Linked DNA regions of Bombyx mori. The main gene of each other region encodes a partner of the protein of the gene in region 5 in a complex. Links are inferred from orthologs where the notes say so. Each region holds a gene or a part of one and is shown on either strand. Other genes may lie near its edges. The genes, in order: general transcription factor IIE subunit 2; Znrd1; DNA-directed RNA polymerases I and III subunit RPAC1; DNA-directed RNA polymerase I subunit RPA2; DNA-directed RNA polymerases I, II, and III subunit RPABC5; RNA polymerase I-specific transcription initiation factor RRN3; general transcription factor IIH subunit 4.

Region 1 (3,950 bases), on a different chromosome or scaffold from region 5:
CTTTGTAGCCGGTTGGATTGCTCGATTCGGAGTACCTGCTGTCATCACTACCGACCAGGGACGACAGTTCGAGTCGGACCTTTTCAGACGCCTTACTAATTTATGTGGTACTAAACGTATACGCACTACTAGTTACCACCCTTGTGCCAATGGGCTCGTGGAGCGCATGCATAGACAATTAAAGGCCTCTCTGATGTGTTATGATGATTCGTGGTTGAATGCATTACCTTTGGTCTTATTAGGAATGCGTTCGGCTTTTAAAGAAGATCTACAAGCAACAGTAGCGGAATTGCTTTACGGAGAAACATTAACGCTTCCAGGGGAACTGTTAGTACCTCCCGGTCCTTCTGGCTTCGAGGACCCGACGGATTTTGTCGTAAAGTTAAGACAGCGTATGTCTAAATTGCGTCCCACTCCATGTTCCTCACACACTAAACCATCACCTTTCATATTTAAAAATCTTTCCACCGCCTCTCATGTAATGCTCAGGGAGGATTCGGTTAGACGTTCAATGCAACCACCTTACTCTGGTCCTCATAGAGTTATATCTAGAGCCGAGGACGGAAAAACGTGGTCGATTGATGTAAAAGGGAAACAGGTGACGGTCAGTGTCGACAGAATTAAGCCAGCTTTCGTCGAGCATTCTTTAGTAGATCTCGTTCCAGCACCAGCACCGCGGGTTTCTGTGCCTCAACCAGCGCAACCGGATGCTACTAATGTCCCTTCATGTCCACTCGTGCCTTCGGCACCTCTAACTGCTACTCCTACGCATACACCTCAATATACCACCCGATCAGGTCGCAGAGTCCACTTCTCCAAACCTTTCGACCTATGATATTTTTTTCTCTTTTTCTGCGGATTCTCCTTCTCCGTAGGGGGGTGGTGTGGCGTTTTATTATGCGTAAGCCGGAACGCACGAGATGTGGGAAAAAGAATATAGTCTGTGACAATACCTTTTTACCGCCAAAATATGAAAAACAAAAATAATTTATAATGTGATAATAACCAATTTAATGTAATTACTTTATGCCGCTACAACAATAAAATTTATATTGTTCCAACTGTGGTGTTAATTACATAAAACACAACCAGGCGAAATAAAGAAGGGACTCTATATGAACTCCCTCACGTCATTTGTCAAAGATGGTCATATGTCACATGTCAAATTGCTCAAACCGGATTTTAAAGAAACAGGATTTGGAAGTGGAAAATAGACTACATTACAACAGCAATTAAACAAAATACTAATACAATTGATACGTACTTTTAGTGATTGTGTTTAAAAGACGAAAATATGGACCCGGCGCTCTTACGGGAACGGGAAGCGTTTAAAAAGAAGGCACTTGCGACCCCGAGGTCTGTTACATTATTTTTAACTAAACTATTCGCTAGTCCACAACAATGATTGGAGACATACTGGCATCCATCGCACACTTTCTCTGTCACTCACGTAGCCCATACAATTACTATCAATTCACTTCCTTGTGGCAATATTCATTACTGAGTCATTATATAAAGTTATGAATGGAAATATGTGTTTCGAAATACTAAATGAGTAGAAATGTGAACAAATCACTTGTGCAGAGAAAAGTAGAAGATTTAAATGTTAATAAGATATAATATCTTTCCTAATTTAATAGCAGCCAATATTCTAGATAAATATGATCAAGGCACAGGCCCTATTTTTTTAAAGATTATATTGACTGGCATGCCCTAGGTAAATTAGAATACAATGGAAAATGTTTCATTTAATTTAAAGTAATGAATTTTTTCAAAGAATCTGATCAAGCTGACAGCCCACATTATGTTAAGTGATTACCTGAGCCCCTAGATATAATGTGAATGTCACCAATTGTTTTGAAACATGATTTTTATCTAAAATGCTACTTCATCTTATAATCCATTTATGAAAACGTGTTAGAAATGTTTTGCCGTGGAAAAAATTATACAGGTCTATGGTATTTGAATACCAGCATAGTCACACTTGATAAAAGTACACTTTACATGAGCTATAGTTCAACCCATCGAAAGGTTACTGTCAAATTAGAACGAAACAAAATTAATAAAGTATTATTCTTTTCTCTTCAGCATTGAAAAAAAGAAAAGGGATGACTCTGAATTCAAAGATGACAGCAAAAAGAAATCGAAATCATCCAGCTCAGTCAGCTCCGGACCAAAGCTTGATGCTAGTAAGTAAGTAAAGGCTAGGGCAACATAATTAATAATTTAAAATATTCTGTTATCAAAATAACTATTGAATTTACATAGTTACTGTGTTCCGCATAAACAAATATGTGCATCATTTACTAATGCTATTTTCATTAATAAACTAGAAATCACATTTAGTTTTATCTTTTGACTAGGTCAAATTACTATATCAGCAATATCTATTCATGACATCAGTACCATTGCTTCCCATAATTTATTATGCTTTATAGGTAATTTTAATCGCCAATTCTATTAAATAATACTAATAAACTTTTTATAGCAATATCAACTTTTGAATAAAAAAAATTAGAAAAAGCCTTTGGAAAAAAAATTATGAAAAATAAAAAACACAGGATTTATTTGGAATTCGAAAATTTATATTATGATAGCCTTGATACAGGCTATATGTAGCGAGCTTTTTATTGTTAAAAAAATAATTTATCATTTAGTGTATTTGCTAAAATCTTATAAAATATATAAAAAAGAATTGATCATATTTAGTGCTACAATGGATAAAATATTGAGATAGAGCATATAGATACCAGTTCTTTCTCTGTTTGACAACTCTCCCTTTTATTTAATTTAGTAGCTATTAAAGAGCTTTTGTGTTATCAGAAAACAGTTCTAGATTTTTTTTTATATCACTAAGTAACGAAACAAAAGGGAAAATTTAATACTAAATTGAATCTAAACCTTGAGGTGTCAATGATTATGGTCGAATTTAGATCAATAAGCAAACACTAATAATATTATTTTTTGTTATATTATAATTATTGGTTAAATCTGTGATTGATCATCATCCTTTTCAGTTACAAGACTATGACTGGCAGCTCGTCCTATCGCTTTGGTGTGCTAGCGCGTATTGTACGGCATATGAGAGCAAGGCATCAAGATGGAGATGACCATCCACTGTCTTTAGATGAGATTTTAGATGAGACAAATCAATTGGATGTCGGAAATAAAATAAAACAGGTATCTTTTAATAAGTATTGAAATAATAAATAAATTACCTCAATAATAATTACAACAACACACACATTTTCTTATAGCTGATGATAAATGCAATTTTTATTTTATTACTAAGTCTAATGTGCTCACGAACCACCTGGTGTTAAGCAGTTACTGGAGTATATAGACATGAGTTCTAAATCTCACTTTTATATTGCTTATGCTTCAGTAAAGAAATAGGCAGTGTGGTTATATCTACCCCTGCATGCTCACAAGACACCCTATTAACACTAACTGTATCTACATAATGTATAAAAATAATCATGAGTAATTACTTTAGGAAAATGATGGCATTAATTACAGTATTATTATACCCCAGCACACAAGTACCACAACACCCAAATTGATTAAAATGCTTTTTATAAATAATATTCTATTTTAATTGATTTCTCTTTTATAACCTGCTGTAAACATTTTCAAGTGGCTACAAACAGAAGCCCTACAGAGCAATCCTAAAATCGAATGCTCTCCGGATGGAAAGTTTAACTTCAAACCGGTTTATAAAATAAAAGATAAAAAATCTTTACTGAGGTACGTATAATATTTTCATTATTTACATAATTCAAATGTAGTAACTAGAAAACGATTTAAAGATCATCACCTGACAAAAATCATATAAATAAAAAGTACTTGTTCAATTTGCATTTCATTTATTGTAGGCAGCGGTTTGGCTCTGCCCCTGGCATTGCTGAAGTCCATGGGCGACGGTAACTACTCACCATCAGGTGGGCCGT
Region 2 (2,818 bases), on a different chromosome or scaffold from region 5:
TTGCCAATACTACGATTATTTTTCTTCATTGTATGGTTACGCTAGCTCACAGCCCACTTGATGTTGTTGTGGTCTATAGGATACGATGCCGGTTTACAAGTATCAAGCGATTGTGCTGGTGTTAGTATCAAGGGATAAGGCCTTAGGAGGCAGGTAAAAATTTTCCTTAATAAATATGTATGTATTACAGAATCCAGTGACTTCTACTATGGAAGATTAGCAGTGTGTACTTTTGTTATACAGGCATATTATGCTTACTGTAGGAAACTAATATGGCCGAGCTTGTTCTACATAGAATTATTTCTGAGTAGTGTATTATAAGTTTATCAAAAATTGTCAAATGTAAATCTTCTACACTAAGATCCAAATAAACTTGTTGCATAAAACTCTTCAATATTGCTATGGTTTTAGAAACATGGAAATAAAACCTTTTGAAAAAGAAACTTTCATTGAACTTATTATTTAAAAATAGAAATGTATTTCTCAGCATAAAAAAAACATTTGGACAAATGTTTATAATTTCAATTATTCAGATTTGATTCTATTACATGTAATTTTTAAAACATGGTTTTTAAGATTAATCAGTATAGAATTTACAGTTTAAAAGTTATCATTCCAAGAAATGGAATTAAAATTACGCACCAGTTACATGGTGATTAATTTTAATCCTTATTAAATTTACCTAATTTAAAACAATCAGTAAAACTGATTTTTGCATAAAGTGATTCTGATACAATGATTCTATTGCCGAGTTTTCCTTTGACAACCTTAAAACTAGTATAAAGCAGCCTTTAGGAGTTTTCAGTTTCCTTGTATCTGAAAATAAATAATACTTTACGATATTATCTTGTACGATGTGTTCTTTTTTAAATTAGGAAATAATTTTATTTTTGAGATAGTAGTTGCTTACAAGATCATTATTATGTCCAGTTTTATATTACCAAGGAAATTTGGCCACAAGTTGCAATTATTTTCCTGTCTTAGGCTAGTGGTAGGGTCCAATTTTATTTAATACAAGTACAGATATTGATGACTTGCTCATCGAAATACAAATAAATATTGTAATTTACATACTTGCACTTTATACATGTGTAGAAAACTGTTTGTCCTTCATCGGCCGATCGTAACTGTAGAGTTGCATATGACATTCTGTCGTAACCGCATTTAGCGCATTTTCTCTCCACAACTGGACCCTCAGGACCATCAGTATGTAGTATATTCTCATTTGTGATCACAGATATAGTATTGAAATGTATTGTGTATTGAAATTTCATTTTACTATAATCTGTAAAAAAAGAATTTCTGAATAAAACATTTTTTTAAGTTTTTATTTTATATTTCGAAAACAAATACAACAGGTTCTTTCTGGATTTCATAAGTATCACTAAAGTTTTTTTATTTATTATAAATTTAATAGTGAATATTCGAAAATTATACAAAAGCATAACGCTGAAAAATCGTATCCCGTTTATATGAAAGTAATTTTTTCATTGGCAACTATATACTTACTATCAGCCTCATAATGTGCTTTACAAGTGTAGCATTTCACGGAGCCAAACTCTTGTAGCAAGGGTAATATGGACCCACAGCGAGCACAAAACGCTGTACTAGTTGATAACGGGCTTTCAGTGGACATTATTTCTAAAAGTAAACACAATTATCACTAAAAGGGTTGTGTATTTTTGTTTAGAATATTAGGTTATTTTAAATCTTTATCTATTAGTACTAAACATAACCAAAATATATTTTTAAACCAATATGAAGCATACTATATATTTTTGTGAAGGGTTTTAGACAGTTTTAGTGTATACATACCCTAAGTATTTGCTATACAAAAACCTATTTTTTTTTTACTATAATGATAAATTCATTACTTACGTACAATTTTTTTTAACTGTTTGACAATTGACAAAGGAAACATAGCCCATACTGATAGTATTAGATCACTTGTAACTAAAATTTGAAAAGATGAAGTTCAGTAACTGTTTCTTTTTCTTACCTAAGCTCATAGCCTTGAGAGGCTATGTTAGCGTCACCTAACAAGTAGGTGAGCTCACGGGACTCAAACCTGATGACGTTGCTAACGCTAACCCTAGCAAGAGCAGTGCTTCTCTGAATCTACCAGCGGATCGGAATCGCGACCTACTGAGAAGATCCGGCCAGAAACTCAGTGGGTTGTGTCTGTGGGTTAATTTACTCGCCGAGCCCTTTGTCGCAAGCGACGGTTTCGACGAGAACGATGACTGGTGATTTGAAGTGCTTAAAAGCACCGTTAGTGGATCGGGAGGATACGAAATGACGTGCTGTAATTAAAATAATGAAGATTGCACTTCTACGTTTTAGTTTTGGTGGACTTTTTGTCTCTCTACCACAGTCTGTGACAATGCCTACAGAACTACAGAACGCTCCCAGTAGCTGTAGATATAACCACTACAGTCTACTACAGCTCATTTTTAGCTCTTGCTCTTTACACTATTACTAACTCCACTCTATAAACGAAATTATAAACGCAATTCTTCAATAGTGGATCTCTAAAATCAGTCATCTTCATTGTTTCTCATATATAGATTAGTAGGTATTTAGGAAATATGTTGACAACTGTCGTCGTTGCGGATTAAACTCAAACTGCAGTATAGGAAGCATTTATTTATTCCACACGCACCTTAAAATCGTATACATTAACAATCAATTGATTTTTATCTTTGAACCTTTTAAAAACGTAAAACACATTTTTTTATATCATGACATTTTTCCCTCAAACTGACAGCCTGTCTTTTGAAGTGAAAACTTCTTTAGAATCGTTGTGATTTCAAACCGG
Region 3 (4,271 bases), on a different chromosome or scaffold from region 5:
CGTTTCTTAAGTAAATAAAAAAATAATAATAATAATGATTTCTTTTTGTTTCCTTTTGTTGGAGTTTACTCCTTTAGAATCGATTTACATATATAGGCCCGGGGTATGAAAATTATGGGGACCAAAATCGTACTAGCATGTCACACGAAATGCGTTATGCGCCTGATTGGCTCCTGATTGCGTGATGCGTGCGCGCGCCAATCAGGAGCCAACGCGCGGCCGCGTTATCGCAGGTGACGCCGGGCTGCTGCGCCGGCAGTCCGCCACAAAGCCTCGTACTGATCGCGCGTTTCTCTCATTATTGTATTTTCATATATTTGTTAGTCGTTTGTTTTGTGTCTCGTTAATTTGTTAATAATCTGTAGTGTATCGTGTTGTCGTAATATAGAACTATTTCTCGTATTGTTTCGTTTAATTTTTTATATCCAGTAAACTCCAGTCGTGCGTCGGAGCGGACACACACACTTTTTTCATTTCTTTCTGTTTCGATTTACATAAAACAGACACGACTTCACTTACTGTAACAAAAATTAGGATTGTATGGTCTTTGATCCTTTTGCCCAGCGAGTTGTCAATTCAAACAAGTAAAAACCTCTATTTATTTTCCAATACGGTACGGTACCGTACCGTAAAATGGGGCGATTAGGGACAAATTCCAACTTTATGAGCAATTTTAAGGTAGTTGTTGATGTATATAATGCTATATCAGGATCAAAATGATTGAGTCTTGGGGGCATCTTTGTTGTCTAATTTAAAATTATGCAACTAGCATTCCAGTTTAAGCAAAAAATGCAAAAATAGGTGTAATCTCTATTTACCCGAAAATTGCGGTTAATTGGGATGTAATGAGAAATTTGCTAGGGTTGGCACTATTTTTATTTTTATATATAGTTTTAATTTATTTATTTATTTAGTTGCACCAACAAAGTGATCATCAATAAAAAAAAATGAAAAACTGACAAAAGTACATGGCAGACATCACCTCAATTATAGGTGCAATCGACAGTGCTGATATTTCTATCTGGGTTAAGAGATTAGGTGTGTCGGTTATTCCATGGATTAATCAGATGAATACCCCCACTCTGAACAAATATTAAATATTTTATTATGTATTACTTAGACATTTTTGTCCACCTTGAGATTTCATTGATCTTGTTACATGTCTCTGCAAAATCGACTTACTTATATTAAATTGCTTATCTATTTCAAATAAAGACTTATTCCCAATTTCGCTTCGAATAAACCAGATATTTACCAACAAATTCAAAAAATATTGTTATAACTACATAGACAACCCTACAAACCTGTACCTATTTATACTTAGGTCGTTTCCATTTCACGTATTCTCATCCCAATTGACCCCTTTTTCGTTGTTATTTGTACCTAAGACGTCCCCAATAACCCCAAAAACAACAGATTTTTACATGTATTTTTATTTAATCAAATACATTAAAAGCAATAACAACTGAGACTTACCTTTAATATATATGCTGGTTCAAACACTAAATAACGTTTATAAATCATAGTCGTCTTCTATTATTATCAAATAAATAAAAGAGAGCAAAGTTTCTAGCACTAAAATAATGACCACCACAGGAAGTTAATTTGAAACGCGATTTTTTATAAGTTAGCAGCTATTATCATGCATATTCAGAGTTGTTTTGTGAACTTTCAACATTCTACTATTAAACTACAAAAAATGGAAGATTTTGCAACGAATATAAAACTTATATTGAGCGTCGAAAGATTTTCCCGGTTTTTTCCCGATTCGCCTGTCAATCCCTAATCGCCCCATTTTACCGGTACCGTACCTATGTACCTACATAAGTACAAACTTACATTACTTACTACATAGTCAAAGTTTAAATTACCTACTAAAAATTACTTAAAATCACTACTTAAGTGTATAATCTATGATCACTACCTTACGTAAAATCATCGAAATATTTAATTTTGTCAATTATATCTGTATAAAAATATGCGACAAACTTTATATACAGTAAACGTTACTGTATACCTGTGAAATAAGATAAAACCTTATTTACATTAATTAGTAAAATATTGCAAAAATGCCTAAATTCGATGAAAAACCCCGAGTTTTTCTTGAAGAATTCCGTGTTAAGGTTCTCCTTTAAATTGCAAGACTTATTTACAACGATAAAAATGCACATGATCATAACCTAATAATTTTTGCCCGTACAGAATGCACCCGAAGATTACGGATTAGACGATGAAACATGGGACTTCAAAAAGTTTGTGAAGAAGTTTAAGATAGTTGTAGTACGAATGGACAATTTCGAAATGGAATTTGACTTGATTGGGATCCAGCCAGCATTTGCGAACGCATTCCGGAGACTCATGTTAAGTGAAGTTCCTAGTATGGCTATTGAAAAAGTAATGATCAAGAACAACACTTCTATAATACAGGATGAAGTTTTAGCACACAGATTAGGATTGATTCCTCTCAAAGCTGATCCAAGATTGTTTGAATATAAATCTGAAGGTTTGTGTACAAATTATTACAAAGCCGAGACCATATGTGGGCATTCGTTTTGGAAGATGATTGTTTTCTGTGAAATTGGTTGTCTAATTATTTTTTATTTATCAATTACGTAAACTAGTACACTAATAAAACCACAAATATTCATTTTTCTAGTATCCTAAAATTGACAATTTAGAGCTGGAATGCAAGATGTTATTAAATACTCACTTTTATACCTCAATAAACATTTATATCTCATAATCAGTAAAGTTTTCACAGCCTAAAGGATAAGATGCCTGGTCCATTTTTATTATTGTAACTATGATGAAATAAAAAAAGTTAACAGAAAATAAAAGAATTGTTTGAGCAGCTCTTGTAAATAATTTGAAATTTTATTTTCAGAAGACACGGAAGGAACAGAATTCAACACTTTAGAATTTTCACTAAAAGTAAAATGTACCAATAGCAAGTCACAACCAAAAGATTCATATAGAGCTGAAGATTTGTATGAAAATCATAGTAGTGAGTTTTCTGTATATCAATATAATAATGTGTAACAAACAGCCTATTAATGTTTTTAATATAACAGTAGATCGCAGATCAGCATATGGCCCTGGTATTAAGCTTGCTGCAGTGCATAGATATAGGTGATTCACTCACATTAAGATATGGGATTGAAGTTTCCATTCCATAGCAAAACAGCTATCCTTACAAACTGGATTCCTTTGCAGTAGAAATGGACAAGATAAATTATGACTACCAATACCAAACTTATAGAATGTTACTGCCATTTTCTGGTAAATTTTTTAGCCACCTGTAACAACACCATGGTAAGATATAGAGTGGTATTGTTGTATGCTGATAGGACAGAACACAGAGCTGATTTTTTGAACTATGGACTAATCTATGAAATTTATATTTATAGTTTTTTTATATAATGCTAGATGATTTTGTTATTCTTAATACTTAGTTAATTACAAATATGTTTATACAGTTTATTCATCCCATATGAAGTGGCATCCAATTGGCAACCAAGCTACAGTTTATAAAGAAGCTGATGTGGGTCCTGTACATAAGGATATTCTTATATCAAAAATGAGACCTGGCCATGAAATAGACCTTCAAATGATTGCCGTGAAGGGCATAGGAAAGGATCATGCAAAATTTTCACCTGTTGGTTAGTCCCTTCTTATGAATATTTTATAAAATGAGATAAGCTTATTTTAATTATTAAAAAAAATGGTTTAACTAACATATCCATTTTATTCTACAGCAACAGCTACATACAGATTGCTGCCAGAGGTAACACTGACTCGTGAAGTTTGTGACAGTGAAGCCACACTGTTGCAGAGTTGTTTCTCACCAGGTGTTATTGGTATTGACTCTAAAAACCGAGCATATGTGAAAGATGCAAGATATGATGCATGTAGTCGTAATGTTTATAGATATGACACAATCAAAGATTCAGCAATCCTAAGTAGAGTTCGGGATCATTTCATATGTAAGTAGCCATATGTAAATTAATGAAATCATAAAAATGCCACAAATAATTACATGTGCAACAGTTTTTTTGCTATCAATGCTGGTTACCTCAAGGGGGTCTAGCTTCACCTAACGTGTAGGTAAGCTTACAGGCTCAGTCTGGCGAATTTGCTAACACTAGCCCTAGCAAGGGCAGTGCTTCTCAGAATCTACCACTGGATCGGAATCGCGACCCAGTGAGATGATCTGGTGAGAAACTAAGTGGGCTGTGTCTAAGGTTTAATTTACAAACCCAAAAATCTAAAAA
Region 4 (3,927 bases), on a different chromosome or scaffold from region 5:
CGCTTTCTCTGTCCCTATATCTGTCTGTCCCTATATCTGTCTGTCCCTATATCTGTCTGTCCCTATGTATGCTTAAATCTTTAAAACTACACAACGGATTTTGATGTGTTTTTTTTTAATAGATAGAGTGATTGAAGAGGAAGGTTTATATATATAGTAACATCCATTAAATAGTGGAGAAATCAATAATAAATTACAGTTTCCGAAGCGAAGTGAGGGCGGGTCGCTAGTAAACTATATATTGTTTGTGAGATAGTCATCTGTTGCCATTTGAAAGGCTTTCATATTATTACTGAAATTTTATTAAGACTTACAATAGCAGTAACAATCTTCTCTAATGACTACTGAATATTATCATGAACTGTCAGCTTTGAGATGAAGAATTATTATTTCAGCAAAAGCTGCATGTTAATCGATAGCTTCTCCTCAGTCAGACACTCTCATTACAGTGGTTTTGACTGCAGTAACAGCATTGGGAATCTATTCATACAGTGGGTTTCTAGAATATTCTTTTTCGTCTTCTATCAGCCCAGAGATGTCCACTGTGGGACATAGGCCTCCTCCAAGCCTCTAAAAAATGATTGGTCCTGCGCTGATTCTTTTCAGAATCACTAACACATACTTAATTAATTATTAACATTTTGTGCAATAATTTTACTGAAAATATAGTTTCTTTGAAATGACGGTAGTTACAAACCTTTATTACAAAATATCCACCCCATTCATCAGCATGTTCATTTTTCTCAATCAGTTCTTCAGGTGATAAATCAGCCAAATGACACATTTTAGACTACAAATTTAAATAAAGCATTACTTTTAAACAATATTCAGAACTACACCCCACTTTCAGGTGACCATAAGCTCCTCTGTTACAAGGGTAATAAAAAAGAAGGTTAGAATAACAAAAGTTTTCTTTCTAAATTGATAGTCATCATAATAATTTCATTATGACTCCACCAAACTATCCTCTGTATTACACTATTAACAAATATAAAGATTCTTAATGTTTAAATTATAGGGTCTGTTTTCCTTATTTCAACTTTTCAAATAATAATTTCATAGAAATCATAGTATCAGGATCCCAGGCTGTGAATGATTAACATATAAATTGCTCTAAAAGTGCTTTAGGCAATGAATTGCTAACATATCATTTAGTGATTATTAGAATTTTTTTTTTTTTTTTTTTTTATTGCTTAGATGATTGGACGAGCTCACAGCCCACCTGGTGTTAAGTGGTTACTGGAGCCCATAGACATCCACAACGTAAATGCGCCACCCACCTTGAGATATAAGTTCTAAGGGTCTCAGTATAGTTACAACGGCTGCCCCACCCTTCAAACCGAAACGCATTACTGCTTCACGGCAGAAATAGGCAGGGCAGTGGTACCTACCCGCGCGGACTCACAAGAGGTCCTACCACCAGTTATTACGCAAATTATAATTTTGCGGGTTTGATTTTTATTACACGATGTTATTCCTTCACCGTGGAAGTCAATCGTGAACATTTGTTAAGTACGTATTTCATTTGAAAAATTAGTACCCGCCCGCGGGATTCGAACACCGTTGCATCGCTATATACGAATGCACCGGACGTCTTATCCTTTAGGCCACGATGACTATCTTTGTATGCTCAAGTGTCAGTCGAACCTTCCTCCTAAAACTTTATTTGATGACCAGAATTGTAAAACTAGTTTGTTAATATAACAGAATTAGGCTTTAAAGGTAACAGTGTCCAATTTATTTGCATTCCATATACATTAACATGAGTTTACAGCTGACATATTTTTTTCACTAGTATTATAATACCATTAATTACCATGAAGCAAAAAGTTTCTCAAATTCTCTAAAGTATTTTTCATTATACCCCTCAATGTGTTGATACACTGATAGCTAAAATTACAAATTTAAAGCAAAATTATTTAAATTGAAATTTCAAAGGAAAATTACCACAATGAACTCACCTTAATCATAATGGGTAAATAACCTAAGGACCTCTCAATGGTGACAGACCTTCCGTCAATGCACAGAGTGACTCTGATCTTTAACTCTCCCTTGTATGTAGCAGCTCTCTGCCGGCATTCTGTTGGGAGGACCACTTGAGATTTAACCCCTACTGTATCCATGGGAACATTGGGTTTAGCGAATGCTGCTTCATCGATTGTCACTTTGACCTTTTCACCACTAGGTAACTCAAATTCCGATGGCAATAGATCAGCTATAGCAAATTTCAGGCCATCGTCCAGCATATAATTGAATGAATCTATGTGAGGCGCTCCAAGACTTTGAAGGTACTGTAACGAGTGTATGATTTATTATTCTTAAAATGAAACAAGTTAAAAAAGGAAATTAGAAAAGAAAATAAAGTAGTGTGATGAATCAGTACACGAATTTTCTTTTTTATTCTTTATTAGAGCCATACACCTATTAGGTTAAGTCGACTGGTATACGAATTAAACTAATTATTTATGGCTTAGTACAAAAAGTTTTAAATCTTTAATAACAAACTTCTCGAAGACACGCCATCGCGATTACTTCGTTGATTTTCAAATTGCTTTTAAGGGCTTACAAGAAAAATAATAATGAGGTGTAAAGGTTATTTACCGGATTTGCTATTTTTGGCGGTTTTCTATAATCTGGGTGGCTTGTGTACGCCAATGATGGGTTTTGGGCTAGTTTTTTTGGATTCATGTTGATTTAATTACGTATTTAACTTTCATATTCTTAATTTACAGTAGGTTTTATTTATAAATAAACACAAATTGACCACATGTCGTAGCTGTCAAAGTGAAGTAGTGGTAGTTCTACTTTTCTAACTGAAAAAGCAAAAGTATCATACCATACAACCTATATTTTATGTTTTAAATATGAAAAATGATAATATGAAGTGAAATAAAACGAAATGAAATGAGATGAAACGAGATGAAACGAGATGAATCGAGATGAAACGATATGAAACGAGATGAAATGATATGGGATTAGATATATTGTCAGGAAAATGGTGATTATTTTACTAAGACTTTTTCAGTGGATTTATTGGAGGATCCCAAAAAGCTACGTTCAGCGGCTTTGTTTCATTTTCCTACATTTGTGCACTTTCAAAGATACTAAACAGTTAATAAACCACCGTTATTATATACACCTTTAAACCTGAAGATATTTTAAATAGATCAAATAAAACTGTTCACACAACTTCGCTCCTCGCGTTCCCACCAAAAAGTCCTATCATAATGAAATACTGTTGTTGAGATCTGGCATTAACGGCCTTAATCAAAAATTCAGAATTATATAATTTATCTCAAAATGTGGCCATTGATGAGAGTTTGACCATGTGAAAGGCTGACTTGTTATACCAGTTCGTCCGTAACAAGGCAGCGACAGTTGGGATAAAAACATATGAAGTGTGGCTGGATATATTGACTGGCTATTTGTGGTGGCTTGAATTACATGCAGGCTATGACACCTCGGCACCTTCAAAATGATCCAATTTCTGGGACAAGACTAGCTCTCGTGCTCAAACTTTTATATGGTCTTCAGCTTAGAGAGCACACAATATGGACGGACAATTTCTACAACTCTCCAGCATTGGCTGGAGAACTGAAGGTTGTGAGTGTGACTGTGAGTTTGGGGACACTGCGGACCAAAGCCAATTTGTACCCTACGAATTGGCGCGCCTTACAGAAAAGGACATCTTAGTCAAGTGTTGGGATGCACCTCGGGAGATGTGGATCTTATGGTGTGGAGGGATAAAAACCGCGTGGCGCTTATTTCGACATACCATGGTTTCGAATCTACCAGGTGTGGGGATACATTGAAGCCGACTGTCATGTAGTACTACAATCTTTGTATGGGCGGAATAGACCCCAATAACCAGCAGATTGCAATGTATAGGACTAGGGTGGTACAAAAAAAAATGTTTTTCCTGCTCAC
Region 5 (3,274 bases):
TAATTGAAGTGTGTGACGAGCTGATAATGAGCAATAATGAAATGTGGATTGGCCGTAACAAGTAAAAAGCAATTAAAACAAGTCTCATAACAATAAAATTTTTGTAACTAGTCTTAACCTACTCTAGTTTTTTTTGGTACATGAAAAAATCACTCTTATTTAGTTTATATAGTTTCAAGGCTTTAACGATTCAGAATATTAATAAGCTGACAAAAACCTGCACCCACGCACTCGTATACAAACCTCAATTGATGCAGATTATAAAAGAAGCAAACAGCAGGTCATTTTTCAAATGTTAGAGCTTACAATAATTTTGGCTATTAAATATACAGTAGAGATAGAATTTCTTCACAAATAGACAGAAGGAACCAATGTCCTAGGCTTTGAGACTTTGACCAGTTAAAATAAATACTGTGTTAAACTTTCCATTGACAATGGGAGGCATGTAAATCAAGAGCCTTTGTGCGGTGATTAATATAGGTATGAAAGAAAAACTCTAATATCTTAAAAAATTTATGTCAATTATAGATTTTTATTTTTAATTGTGTTTTTTAAAAAATATTTCATTATTTTTCTAATGGGGAATAATTCAAGAGTTTTTCAATGAGATCCACGTGTCCGAGCAACATTCTTCTGCAGCAGTATCTTTTCAATCCAAGGACATCCAAAGCATCACTGAAAGTAAAAAAATACAATTAAATATTAACATTCACATAGTAAATCTACTGTATACAGTACGCTTAACTGACTTCGATGATTACCAGTAATCTATCACTATCAAGAGAATCTTATGCCTATAAACACATTAAAAAAGGTATAAGAATACTCAAAGCTAACAAGCATTAACAATCTTATTTCATTGCTGCAGTTGGTAGTAATGATTATATCAACTCGGGCCACTTTTTACATAGCTTACTTGTCTAGTAGGATATCATCTTACATTTATCACTTATATGCTTCCGTTTCCTCACACTCAAACTGGATATTGCAAAACAGTCCAGAGATTAATCTGGTGTCAAGATCTACCATCATTACCACCTCATTCCCGATCCTGCGGACAGAATGGAAAGCAGTCGACGTCGCCCTAAACACGTCATCTCGGATCCTCCTGATCCACTAACGGTGCTTTTAGGTACTTCAAGCACCGGTCACCGTTCTCGTCGAACCCGTCGCTTGCGACGAAGGGCTCGACGAGTAAATTAATTCTCAGACACAGCCCACTGAGTTTCTCGCCGGATCTTCTCAGTGGGTCGCGTTTCCGATCCGGTGGTAGATTCTGCGAAGCACGACTCTTGCTAGGGTTCGTGTTAGCAACATCGTCAGGTTTGAGCCCCGTGAGCTCACCTACTAAAGTTAAGGCTACGCTGAAATAGCCGCTAGGGCTATCAGCTTAGGTAGGAAAAAAAAAAAAAAAAAAAAAAAAAAAAAATTACCACCTTGTGACCTATGGATTATGATAACCACTTTAAGATAGGTGGGCTGTAAGTATGAGTTGGCAAATAAGAAAAACCCAAGTTAACAGGAATCACCTACATATTCCGTCATTTGAATTCATAAGAACATTAATATTGTTTCTGGGAGGAGCTGTTTTATCTTTCTTGCTGAATTTTTATCAAATAACTACATTATATTATGTATGTCAGTTATTTCCATTTTAAAGTTCTAGAATATTGGTAAGTATAAAAACCAGTTGCAAAACTTAAATTGTACAGTACCCTTCTGTGTAATCCGCCTGTAGCAGGCCTAAGTAAGCTTCCCATTTGTTTCCTATAACCTTCCCGCATGTGAAACATCGTACTGGAATAATCATTTTGTTTATTTCCTACAACCTAAAGTTGTGGTGAGGCACTGGGGTTATAAAGTATCAATGCTTTAACTATTTATTTGGTTTATAAAACGTATTTACTTTTAATAATAATAGAAGATATTTTAGTTACAAAGTATCATTAAATTTAATGAGAAAACACTGTAATTCTATTCTTTACAATTCACAATAATATTATTTTACTTCGAGATAAAAACTTTTTAGACTCGCAACGACAGTCATAGATTACATATTGTATTGTCTATGACTTATGATTAAAGATGACAGTGTCACAAGAAAATATGATATTTTTGTTTGTCGATTTCAATCGGCAAAAGGAATGTAGTCTATAGAACCAAATTTTAATGTTTTATTTTTAAAACATTTTAAAACATTGAATGAATGTTCATTTCATTTGAATGGTACATAATTATTTTTTAAATTTCCAAACTGACTTTTAGTGGTTGGATTTTAGAGAGTAAGATATGCTCCTTTTTAACGTTTGAGTGAAATTGATTGACGCATATTTGGAGCAGTCTACTTATTATTAGAATATTTTAATAAGTAATCAAGAAATTTTCTAAGCCAGTCTCTTAAAAAATGTGAAATGTATGGTTTTCTCTATTATTTCAGGTTAAAATGACTTTATCCCTGCAGCAACATATCAGTATTGATGACAGTCAAATGGTACGTAGCATTTCATTTGTGATCATCGGCAAATTTTCAATGTAAATAAATCAAGTTAAAACAACCATTCATTCCGTACATTAAGGCATGGGAGAGCATATCGAATTTGTGAAATCTCAAAAGTCCAAAGTTAATTATTTTATTTTGTAAATTTAATATTTCATCAGATCTACATGTGTAATGAGAGTGAATTGTGAACCGTTTGGAATATGTGAAAATGCAAAAGTTTGGGAAAATGAAAGACGAACGTCAGTCATAGCTTCTCGTATTCTTCCAAAATATGCATTAGGCTGTCAGTTGCTTAATAATAAGTTACTGCGATATTTATTTAATTTCATGTAATTCAAGTCCTATGATGTTGTTGTTGTTAAGTATATTTCATTTTCTCCTTCAGTGTTATCTGCTTCGTCTCAATATAGGAATCGACTCATTGCAATGCTGCGCTGCATAAAAATATGTTCTAAATACATTTCCAGCTGCTTTACTCCATTTTCTCATACTTGTGTACTATAACAAATGTTTTACGGTTAATAAACCATTATTTTAAGCTTTAAAGTCTGAAGAAACCCTAAATTAACTACAACGTACAATTTCCATTCGGTCTCATACAATTATTCAGTTTATTCGTTCCAGTTCACCTTTGACTGATGATTGGCTTCAGCTTAAATTACAAAACATTTTACTGTATGCGTCCCATTTCCTTTGCCTGTACTATATGAACGAATCAATAAAAATGATATTTTGACAATTGACATTAGATTATTAAAAGAAATACAACAAACA
Region 6 (4,240 bases), on a different chromosome or scaffold from region 5:
CTTCAATGATTGGTTCCATCGTATGGAAAAATGTGTCAAATTTCGCGGAGAATACTTCGAAAAGCAATAAATACATTTTTAAATAGTAATGTTGTGTCACTTCGTTAATTCCCGAAATTTTCAGTGCCGCCTATGTATTGATTGATGTAGGTGCAAAATCACACAACATAGTTTCCAGAGTCATTTATAAAGCCAGATAGAACTCTGTGCACCTGGTTATTTTAAGAGAACAATTTCAGTCTCTCATTGACCCATTTATTATTAAGTATTATATTAAAATTTTTGAGTGTGTCACAGAAGGCTCAAATATGATCTCATCAGCTAATGTTTTGTAAGTAGTATGGTGGGTCCCATAAACTTTTTAAACATCTATGTGATGATCTTGTGGTATTCAAACATTTTTAGTTAGCTGCAGAAGACAGTTCCCAAAAAGGGAACTGTTTTAGTATAATGAGATCTGACCAATTAAATATCTCATCCAACCTTTGTAGGTTGTCAAATATATCATCAATATGCTTCATGAAGCATTTTGATATATTAGCCTATATCCACTCACTTAAGAGTAAATACTGGGGCTAAATCAATACACATACTCAAATAATTAAATTCCCAAACCACTCTAATTCAAATTGTTGAAGATTTCTGTAAATATTTTATAAATTTTTATGTATCGTGACACATATAGGGCGCTTCATTAGAAAATAGTCCTGACATTACTTAAATTGTTAGATAGATATAAACATCCACAAACAATGTAATATGAAGCATAACCTTAAAGAAAGTTACGTAAAATACTTACATCGGCATTATTGCGATAATTTGTCCTATGATTGTATGAATGTTAGACCAGCTATTCAATTTCTCTGTTGGTGGAGTGTCATCCCAGTTTTCTTCATTAGCTAAAAATATCATAGTCATCATCAAATATATCTCTAACTAATGTTATGAAAATTATTATTAGATTAAGTAAGTCTGCCTAAAAAGGCAATATTTTTTTTTAAATATTATCTTGGATACTTCAACTTGTGACTGCTGGTTTGGAATCCTGCAGGCTGGTAACAATTTTTCTGATGGAATACTACTTACTTAACTAATGTTCACAAATGACTTCCACAGTGAAGTTGTGTAATAAAAATCAAACCCGTAAAAGTTTTAATTTCCTTAATTACTATCAGTAGAGAAACTTGTAAGCATGCGTGGGTAGGTACCACCACTTGCCTGCCTATTCCTGTCGTAAAGCAGTAATGTATTTTGATTGAAGGGTGGGGTAGTTGATGTACTGTAAAAACTAAGTCTTAGAACTCAGGTTTCAGGGTGGGTGGTAGCATTAACATTCTGTATGTCTATAAGCTTCAGTGAACACTCAACACCAGGTGGGCTGTGAGCTCATCCACCTATCTAAGCATTATAATAAAAGTAACGGACTAATAGCATGATAATAATATAATTCAGTTTTATACAATACAATATTTCAGTAGTTATATTAGTAAGAATATGAAATAAAAGAAAATCTCAAATCTTAAATGTTACTAGATTTCTGAAAGAGTACTTGTATTGACTTTTATGTGTTAAATTCTTTCACAATATTTCACAATGTTTTTATTAGTATTTACTGATTATTCGTTCATATAAATATATATTTTATATGTTCATTTCTATTTTCTTTGTCTTTTAACAATTTTATATTTAATATTACAATTATAGAATAATATAATGTAATAGCATAATTTATGACATCTTCATAATTCCTACAAACCAATGAATCGTAAGTGGCTATCATTGTCCAGGTATACTAGAACTACCACTGTGTGTTGCTAACTTACCTTTAAAAACCTTAACCAGACAGCTCATCACTTGCGGACAATGGTAAATATGTGCAGTGACTAGGCTAATGATGAAGGTGCTGAAAAGGTTGACTAACTTTTCACACCTACTAGCCCACTCAACATTGCACACTGCTTCTACAAACTGCTTGAAATCCTGTCCCATAATCAGAACGCAAGAGAGACAATCTTCGAGAATAATCCGAAAATTCTCATCATTTAATGGGTAATCTCTCAAAACTCTGACTAATTCCGAGTAAGGTCCAATGTTTCCTGTTTTAGCATAATTAAGAAGTATCTGTTCTATTTGTTTTTCGGAGAATTTCAATCTAGTACGAGCTAAAGCCGCTTGGCGATCCAGAGTTTTTTGCATCAAGGACGCGACGCTTTTCCTAGCCGCTACCGCCATTACTTCTTCAAGTCTTTCGTGATTGCCTTTAAAAACTCTGTTACGTCTGGTTGCCGAAGCAATTCTGCTTTTTTGTAGTTCAGTACTTCGCGTAAAATATTACTACTATCTTCTATGTTCGGGACAGTATTTGTGTTCGGATCGTAGCTCGTACTTGGTTTGCTGTACCCGGCGCTCGTGTCGGAAACGTCAGTGTTTTTCTTGTCTTTCAAATAAGACTGTAATCGCTCTAAAACAGCCTTGTTGTCACTTTCTTTCTTTTCTGGGCTATAACCTTCTCTCGACATAGCTTAACGGTAACTCTAAGTTTTACATTGTGTACAATGTTGCTGATGTTTTATTGATTAATATTTATGATGAATTAACGGAAAATGTACACGTACGTTCAAATTAAACCACCTAAACCTAATTCTTCACCTCAGTTCCTTTTATGAACACGTGCGCAACGTGCGCGGAACTTTTTGACTTTCTATTTGACACGCCGAAATTTGTCATTTTGGTTTGATTTTTCTATCTTCAAAAGGCAAAGAATAAAATGACTATACGTTAGTCTTTTCTTTTGAAAGACTCGAACCAAGTCTTTTTCGAAAGAAAGCATAATTAATTTTGTGGCTTGAAGAATTAGACGCCTAATAAAATCGTATTAAGCGCTGCCACCATGTTAGTGTCTAAATACTGCACATATTAGTTGAGGTATTGGTCTCTATTAAAACTTTTTATTTTTAGATTTATTGTCTATTTCGATGAGAGCCCTTTTGCGTTTTGTCATTAAACTATCGACAGCACTTATTTTCTGTGTATAGTTTTAATGTTATAAATAAGTTAGTTCTGACTTCAATAATTAATGTCATCAGTTTGAGCTTGAGCTGATTTATCGATTTAATGTTTTAAAAAAAATTGTATTATTGCAATGAAAAGTTTTATTTTCCCAATTTAGGAATGAAACTCGTATAAAAACTCCGTAGATAATACACATGGTAAAAAATTACTCCGATCTGGCCAATCGACTCCTATTTTAGATTAATTAAACTTTGTCTATTATTTTCCCCTAAGTAGAAACACTGAGTTAAAAAGTTACAAATCTATTGAACGTACGAACGATCGAATTTTTTTGATAGTATTATAAATATTAGATTATTCATATAAACTCCGCTTTATTTTGTCTGTCAATACTTATTGAATTCAATAGAGATACAACATATATAAATAAGAATATAAGAGAATACAGTAGAGATGAATGTTGTGTCTGCATTACAGATTACGAATGTGATTTGATGTTAGACTGCATGTACGGTACCTACCTACTTGAATTTTTGACGTTTGTCGTTTATCTGTGACTTTTCATTTCTCAATGAAATTGGGAGGGGTGGAATGCGTGTGTATTTCGGAATTCCGGATTTAATCTTCATTTTGTATTATCATTATCAGTGTGTGTGTTGTGTTGGAAAACTTTAAAATAATGAACTGTACAAATAAAGTGTGATTTGATTTGTTTCCTTTTTTAATTGTCTTGATAATCATGCAAAATGGCCAACGATTTGTGGTCATGTACCTGCTGTACAGAGGCTCTGACTTGTTGGCTGCGTCTGAAGCTATCGCCGGAGGAGATAGAGCAACGATATAGGAGTAAAGAGATCGACAGAATACTCGAGAAAGATAAGCAAACTTTGCGGCGGCAGGTGAAGCTGTTGTTACTCGGCGCGGGTGAAAGCGGAAAGTCAACATTCCTCAAACAGATGAGAATCATACACAAAGTGAAATTCGAACCGGAACTCGTGCGGGAGTACCAGCATGTGATATATCAGAACATTGTCAAAGGCATACAGGTGTTAGTGGACGCAAGAGACAAACTCGCGATACCATGGGAGAATCCGCGGAATTTGGATATCGGCCAGCAAGCACTGCACTTCAACAGCACGGCGTCGCTCGACAGCCGACTCTTCATGCACTACGCGCCGCACATACACTCATTGTGGTTAGACAGAGCCATAAAAAGGGCATATGACAG
Region 7 (3,950 bases), on a different chromosome or scaffold from region 5:
AAACCGTTGTGCCAGACTTTGTCGAACGCTTTTGCGACGTCGAAGAAGAGGGCTCCCGTGTAGATCGGTTTTGGTCGGTTAAGTCCCACGAGAATGTGCTCCGTGAGGCGGTGCACCTGTTGTACGCATGAGTGATTCGCACGGAATCCGAATTGTTCATCGATGAGAATGCCCTTTGATGAGACGAAGTCTCTGAGGCGTTTGTAGAGCAGACGCTCATACAGTTTGCCCAGAGACATGAGGAGGCTAATCGGGCGGTAACTCGTCGGATTATTTTTTGGTTTACCGGGTTTGTGTATGCCGATAACGTTCGCTTCTTTCCACACCGCGGGAAAGATACAGTTAGCCATAGCGGCATTGAAGATAGATGCCAACATCACGATGAGTTGGATGGGTAGAAGTTTAATAACGCGGTTAGATATACCGTCGGAACCGGGAGCTTTGCGAGGACGTAGGTCTTTGATCAAGTCTTTAACTTCGGGGTGACGGGTGGTAACGCATCCAAGGGTGGCAAGGAGGCTCTGCGTTCTACCTCACTGTACTAATTCTACATGAACAGGGTCCACGGATTGAGTGCTGGGCGTGCACTGGGTTTGCAATGTATCGGCCAGCAGCTCTGCTTTTTCGTCATCATCGAACGCCGCGAGTCGGCCTGAGGGGCCTACGAGGGGGGGCATAGCTACTACCGTATCCGATTTGAGAGTACGAGTATTCTATCCTAAGCCTACATAATGATTGCAGAATTGCTTTATTTCCATCAAAGGATAAACTTATTCACTCCCTGTCTTCTATAATTTGCGAATATGTTATGATTTGACCTTGAAATAAAACAATAATATTATGTTGATATTTTCCAATGTCTACATTCTTGGAAAAAATTATAGGAATCCGAAACATAGTTTATTTTTTCCTGATATCGTTTTCAGTGGTCCTACTCAATATATCAATGAATAGCATATCTAATTTTTTTTTTAAATTGGTTCCATATTCCTTTGTTTTTTTTTATAATTATAAGCTAAGCTGTAAATGAAAAACTGACCAATGTTGACTGCTTCATCATTAAGTGTGGTTTGATCTCAGATTTTAATTCTTTTTGTGATAGGAAAGAAGCTGCAAAAAGTGGCAGTAAACAGTACTTTTTGCCACATACAATTAAGTAGCTGAGGTTAAATTTGGATAATATGAAAATAGTATGGAGTCTACCAGGAAAAAGATACACTTAGTGCCACATTATTGAAAAAAGGTGTTTGGAAGGGGGTTAGTTGTAGTATAGAGACATATCTCCATGGGATCACATTCATATATCAATGTACCATTGACAATCAGTCACCCAACAGCAGTGCCACATTTAACTCAAATTTCAAGAGATTGTTAAAAAGCATTACAGAATGATTATTTATTTTTTATCTCCCAAATTTGTAGGGGAAGGCAGCATTCACTTCTTTAATTCAACAACTTCAACAGCTTCAAGGGTTGGTTACTGTCATTTTGCACAAAAAAATCCATATCTTATGAAAAGGAAAATCAGCACTACAATCTCTTTTGACATTTGAGTTAAATATGGCACTGCTGTTGGGTAACCGATTAGAATGTTATTTTTTTCCCTATCTATTCCCTGCTAGTTTGGGATATTCCAGCTACGCTCAGACAGCTAAGTGAACTCAGGGGCTCAAATCCAGACAATTTGGTAGCATTGGCCCTAGGAAGAGCTGTGCTTCACAGAATCTATCACCAGATGGGAGTCGCGACCTACTGAGAAGATGCGGTGAGAAATTCAGCAGGCTGTGTCTATGGCTTACTTTGGCTAACTCTTCGTCATAATCAACAAGTTCGATGAGGAGGATGATGGATGCTTGCGAGGCCTAAAACCACTGGATACATACATGTCTGTTTTTAATTTAGATTTTGTGAAGGTTGACATTCTTCACATACCACAGTGCTCTAATTCTCGCAACTCTTCTACACATCCATATAATTTTGTAGGACCATGTTTAGCCATGTTTGAGTCAAACTATAGATGTTATCAACATTTACTTTAAGACCTTTTACTGTGTATTGTGATAACAAGTACATACTTGGCATATGTTTGCGAGACCCAGGATGTGACAACTGCCTGTGGGACTGGCTGCTCAACGAACAGCAAGCGGATTACGAAGTGACGTGCTAGCTCTGGTAATTCGCTGGAATTTAGTATTATACAATAGTTTTATTCAATTAAAACATGATTACTAGTATTATCTTTTAGCTAGTCATAGACAAATTAATTAAATAGTTGAACAGTAAATCACTCTGTACCTCTTATTGTATATTCATTGGTGAATGATAACAACTGATTTTTTTGTGCTTTTGAGCGTATGACATATATACACGAGAGTCATTAGTAGTTATTATGTATGAAATAGCTCAGTTTTAGGAATATTTGGATGCGTTCCGTGCATTACCTCTAGCAGTCTTACTGCCTTACAGGTAAGGTTATGAATAGCGACTTACCGATATACAGCGAGACATATAGTGGGGTAATTGTAAAGAGTCTCTAGAAACTGCGGAGACCGCGACTTAAGATATTCGTGAAGGTCTTTGCATTGTAGTGTAGGCGAAGGATTCAAATTTAAAGACTTCGATTTAGAAGACTCTGACATCGTTCTCGCTGTCTGCTGTCTACCTAATAATTAGTTCTTAAATCTCTTTAATTCATAAGTTTCAGATTATAATAACAAAGTAATCCAAATTCAAAACAACCCAAAACAAATTGAAATTTGACAACCACATTTCATGACTTCGTGACAGTTGACAGATTACTTTCCTCTAAGATCTGATTGCCATATTGAAAAAGTAAAATAACCATAGGGCTTACCATTTAGTTCGAATTACAGAAACTCGCACCACATGAGCTTACGGATCGTAGTGGTTACTGGTTACGGACAGTATATACATCACGACGTATCTCGAGACATGAAGTCAAAATATCAATAATGTTGCTTAATATTTTTGTTTAGTCATAAAACCGATAACACCTTTTCCACCATATTTTTCAACTCTTTGGTACAGATTTGGTATTTAGATTTGGCATTTGAATTACAGATCGCCTACTTCAAAGATATATATTTAAACTACGAATGCGTATATTTTTTTGTGATCGAAGCCTTGATATGATTTTAAAATGATACCTCGGCCCTTCCTCCTCCTCAAGTCGTTCTCCTCATTGAAAGGAGGGTCGTGACTCCCCCGCTGCATCAATCTCTCTTATACGATTGTTCTCCATTTGCTACGATCCTTGACCTCGTGAAGGGCGTCGTGGAGCTAGGCCTAGGCACTTATTAGTTCTGAAATGTTTTGTCAGATCAATAATGAGCGCCCTAATATAATTAAATTATACCTCGTGTTTTGATACAATGTAAAAACCGTAATTTTTGTGATTGCATAGTCATCGAGAAGTGCAGAAAGTACGGTCGATAGAGGACAATAATACAAACCAAATAGTGTTTCGAAAGTCATTCTATTACCTCCACCACCTCAGTTAAAAAGACCCGGCTGAATGCGCGCACGCACTGTCCTGGTGAAACTGAACGGGCCACCAGTAAAACTTTCTTCCTAACAAAAAGTAAAAAAGTGCGTTGTTAATGATATTATTTTTTATTGTTGTAATCGTAGGCATGCGAATATACGGCCACCAGATGGTAAGTAATCACCGTCGCTCATAGATATCAGCAGTCAGCAATGCCTGAGCCCAAGCAGTTGCTAAGTGTTAAGAATTGTCTTCAGATCTCGTTTGAATAAGGATACGTCAAAGCGCCGGGGAAACATCGTAAAAATGTTAGAGAAAAAGTTAGATATATATATCGAAATATTTATTACCTTTACCTATTAAATCAGTAGATTATTCATGCGTATGGATTTAAAGTTGTTTATTGATGTATTTTTTTTAATATGATCCGATAATTATATAAAAC

What was found.
Region 1: DNA-directed RNA polymerases I, II, and III subunit RPABC5 (region 5) and general transcription factor IIE subunit 2 share a complex: the UniProt entries of both Homo sapiens proteins name them as parts of the TBP-based Pol II pre-initiation complex. The link is inferred for Bombyx mori from reciprocal best matches to the Homo sapiens genes POLR2L and GTF2E2.
Region 2: DNA-directed RNA polymerases I, II, and III subunit RPABC5 (region 5) and Znrd1 share a complex: the UniProt entries of both Homo sapiens proteins name them as parts of the pol I pre-initiation complex. The link is inferred for Bombyx mori from reciprocal best matches to the Homo sapiens genes POLR2L and POLR1H.
Region 3: DNA-directed RNA polymerases I, II, and III subunit RPABC5 (region 5) and DNA-directed RNA polymerases I and III subunit RPAC1 share a complex: the UniProt entries of both Homo sapiens proteins name them as parts of the pol I pre-initiation complex. The link is inferred for Bombyx mori from reciprocal best matches to the Homo sapiens genes POLR2L and POLR1C.
Region 4: the proteins of DNA-directed RNA polymerases I, II, and III subunit RPABC5 (region 5) and DNA-directed RNA polymerase I subunit RPA2 are in contact, whole or in part, in a cryo-EM structure (PDB 7OBA), measured with the Homo sapiens proteins. The link is inferred for Bombyx mori from reciprocal best matches to the Homo sapiens genes POLR2L and POLR1B. Residues at the interface, in NP_066951.1 of Homo sapiens: Met1, Ile2, Pro4, Arg6, Cys7, Phe8, Thr9, Cys10, Gly11, Trp18, Tyr21, Leu22, Leu25, Gln26, Glu31, Gly32, Arg42, Tyr43, Cys44, Arg46, Arg47, Met48, Leu50, Ala51, His52, Val53, Asp54, Leu55, Glu57, Lys58; in NP_061887.2 of Homo sapiens: Leu16, Leu19, Thr20, Asp21, Pro22, Tyr24, Gly25, Pro27, Ile157, His160, Glu161, Glu162, Ala163, Phe698, Leu701, Thr702, Arg713, Gln715, Thr716, Pro717, Gln718, Ser719, Leu721, Asp733, Asn734, Pro736, Asn740, Ala741, Ile742, Asn760.
Region 6: DNA-directed RNA polymerases I, II, and III subunit RPABC5 (region 5) and RNA polymerase I-specific transcription initiation factor RRN3 share a complex: the UniProt entries of both Homo sapiens proteins name them as parts of the pol I pre-initiation complex. The link is inferred for Bombyx mori from reciprocal best matches to the Homo sapiens genes POLR2L and RRN3.
Region 7: DNA-directed RNA polymerases I, II, and III subunit RPABC5 (region 5) and general transcription factor IIH subunit 4 share a complex: the UniProt entries of both Homo sapiens proteins name them as parts of the TBP-based Pol II pre-initiation complex. The link is inferred for Bombyx mori from reciprocal best matches to the Homo sapiens genes POLR2L and GTF2H4.

What each region holds. Positions count from the first base shown.
Region 1 is NC_085118.1:15,267,097-15,271,046, forward strand, and holds the start of general transcription factor IIE subunit 2, read left to right. Parts: upstream 1-1,150; 5' UTR 1,151-1,294; coding exon 1,295-1,356; exon of another isoform or gene 1,357-1,360; intron 1,361-2,088; coding exon 2,089-2,193; intron 2,194-3,017; coding exon 3,018-3,180; intron 3,181-3,637; coding exon 3,638-3,747; intron 3,748-3,950. UniProt on the Homo sapiens protein: Recruits TFIIH to the initiation complex and stimulates the RNA polymerase II C-terminal domain kinase and DNA-dependent ATPase activities of TFIIH. Both TFIIH and TFIIE are required for promoter clearance by RNA polymerase.
Region 2 is NC_085112.1:11,752,624-11,755,441, reverse strand, and holds Znrd1 (transcription-associated zinc ribbon protein), read right to left. Parts: upstream 1,643-2,818; 5' UTR 1,642-1,642; coding exon of another isoform or gene 1,637-1,641; coding exon 1,510-1,636; intron 1,286-1,509; coding exon 1,075-1,285; intron 817-1,074; coding exon 792-816; 3' UTR 501-791; downstream 1-500. UniProt on the Homo sapiens protein: Core component of RNA polymerase I (Pol I), a DNA-dependent RNA polymerase which synthesizes ribosomal RNA precursors using the four ribonucleoside triphosphates as substrates. Can mediate Pol I proofreading of the nascent RNA transcript.
Region 3 is NC_085131.1:5,578,812-5,583,082, forward strand, and holds the start of DNA-directed RNA polymerases I and III subunit RPAC1, read left to right. Parts: upstream 1-1,471; 5' UTR 1,472-2,069; coding exon 2,070-2,123; intron 2,124-2,202; coding exon 2,203-2,503; intron 2,504-2,884; coding exon 2,885-3,004; intron 3,005-3,476; coding exon 3,477-3,659; intron 3,660-3,755; coding exon 3,756-3,983; intron 3,984-4,271. UniProt on the Homo sapiens protein: DNA-dependent RNA polymerase catalyzes the transcription of DNA into RNA using the four ribonucleoside triphosphates as substrates.
Region 4 is NC_085132.1:2,350,415-2,354,341, reverse strand, and holds the start of DNA-directed RNA polymerase I subunit RPA2, read right to left. Parts: upstream 2,801-3,927; 5' UTR 2,689-2,800; coding exon 2,602-2,688; intron 2,292-2,601; coding exon 1,962-2,291; intron 791-1,961; coding exon 698-790; intron 1-697. UniProt on the Homo sapiens protein: Catalytic core component of RNA polymerase I (Pol I), a DNA-dependent RNA polymerase which synthesizes ribosomal RNA precursors using the four ribonucleoside triphosphates as substrates.
Region 5 is NC_085133.1:5,485,049-5,488,322, reverse strand, and holds DNA-directed RNA polymerases I, II, and III subunit RPABC5, read right to left. Parts: upstream 2,088-3,274; 5' UTR 1,811-2,087; coding exon 1,716-1,810; intron 676-1,715; coding exon 567-675; 3' UTR 501-566; downstream 1-500. UniProt on the Homo sapiens protein: DNA-dependent RNA polymerase catalyzes the transcription of DNA into RNA using the four ribonucleoside triphosphates as substrates.
Region 6 is NC_085116.1:3,278,874-3,283,113, forward strand, and holds the start of RNA polymerase I-specific transcription initiation factor RRN3, read right to left. Parts: upstream 2,801-4,240; 5' UTR 2,233-2,800; coding exon 1,824-2,232; intron 900-1,823; coding exon 800-899; intron 1-799. Other genes in the region: Galpha12 (G protein alpha subunit), read left to right, coding at 3,759-4,240. UniProt on the Homo sapiens protein: Required for efficient transcription initiation by RNA polymerase I (Pol I). Required for the formation of the competent pre-initiation complex (PIC).
Region 7 is NC_085125.1:220,016-223,965, forward strand, and holds the start of general transcription factor IIH subunit 4, read right to left. Parts: upstream 2,801-3,950; 5' UTR 2,640-2,800; coding exon 2,491-2,639; intron 2,181-2,490; coding exon 2,076-2,180; intron 1-2,075. UniProt on the Homo sapiens protein: Component of the general transcription and DNA repair factor IIH (TFIIH) core complex, which is involved in general and transcription-coupled nucleotide excision repair (NER) of damaged DNA and, when complexed to CAK, in RNA transcription by RNA polymerase II.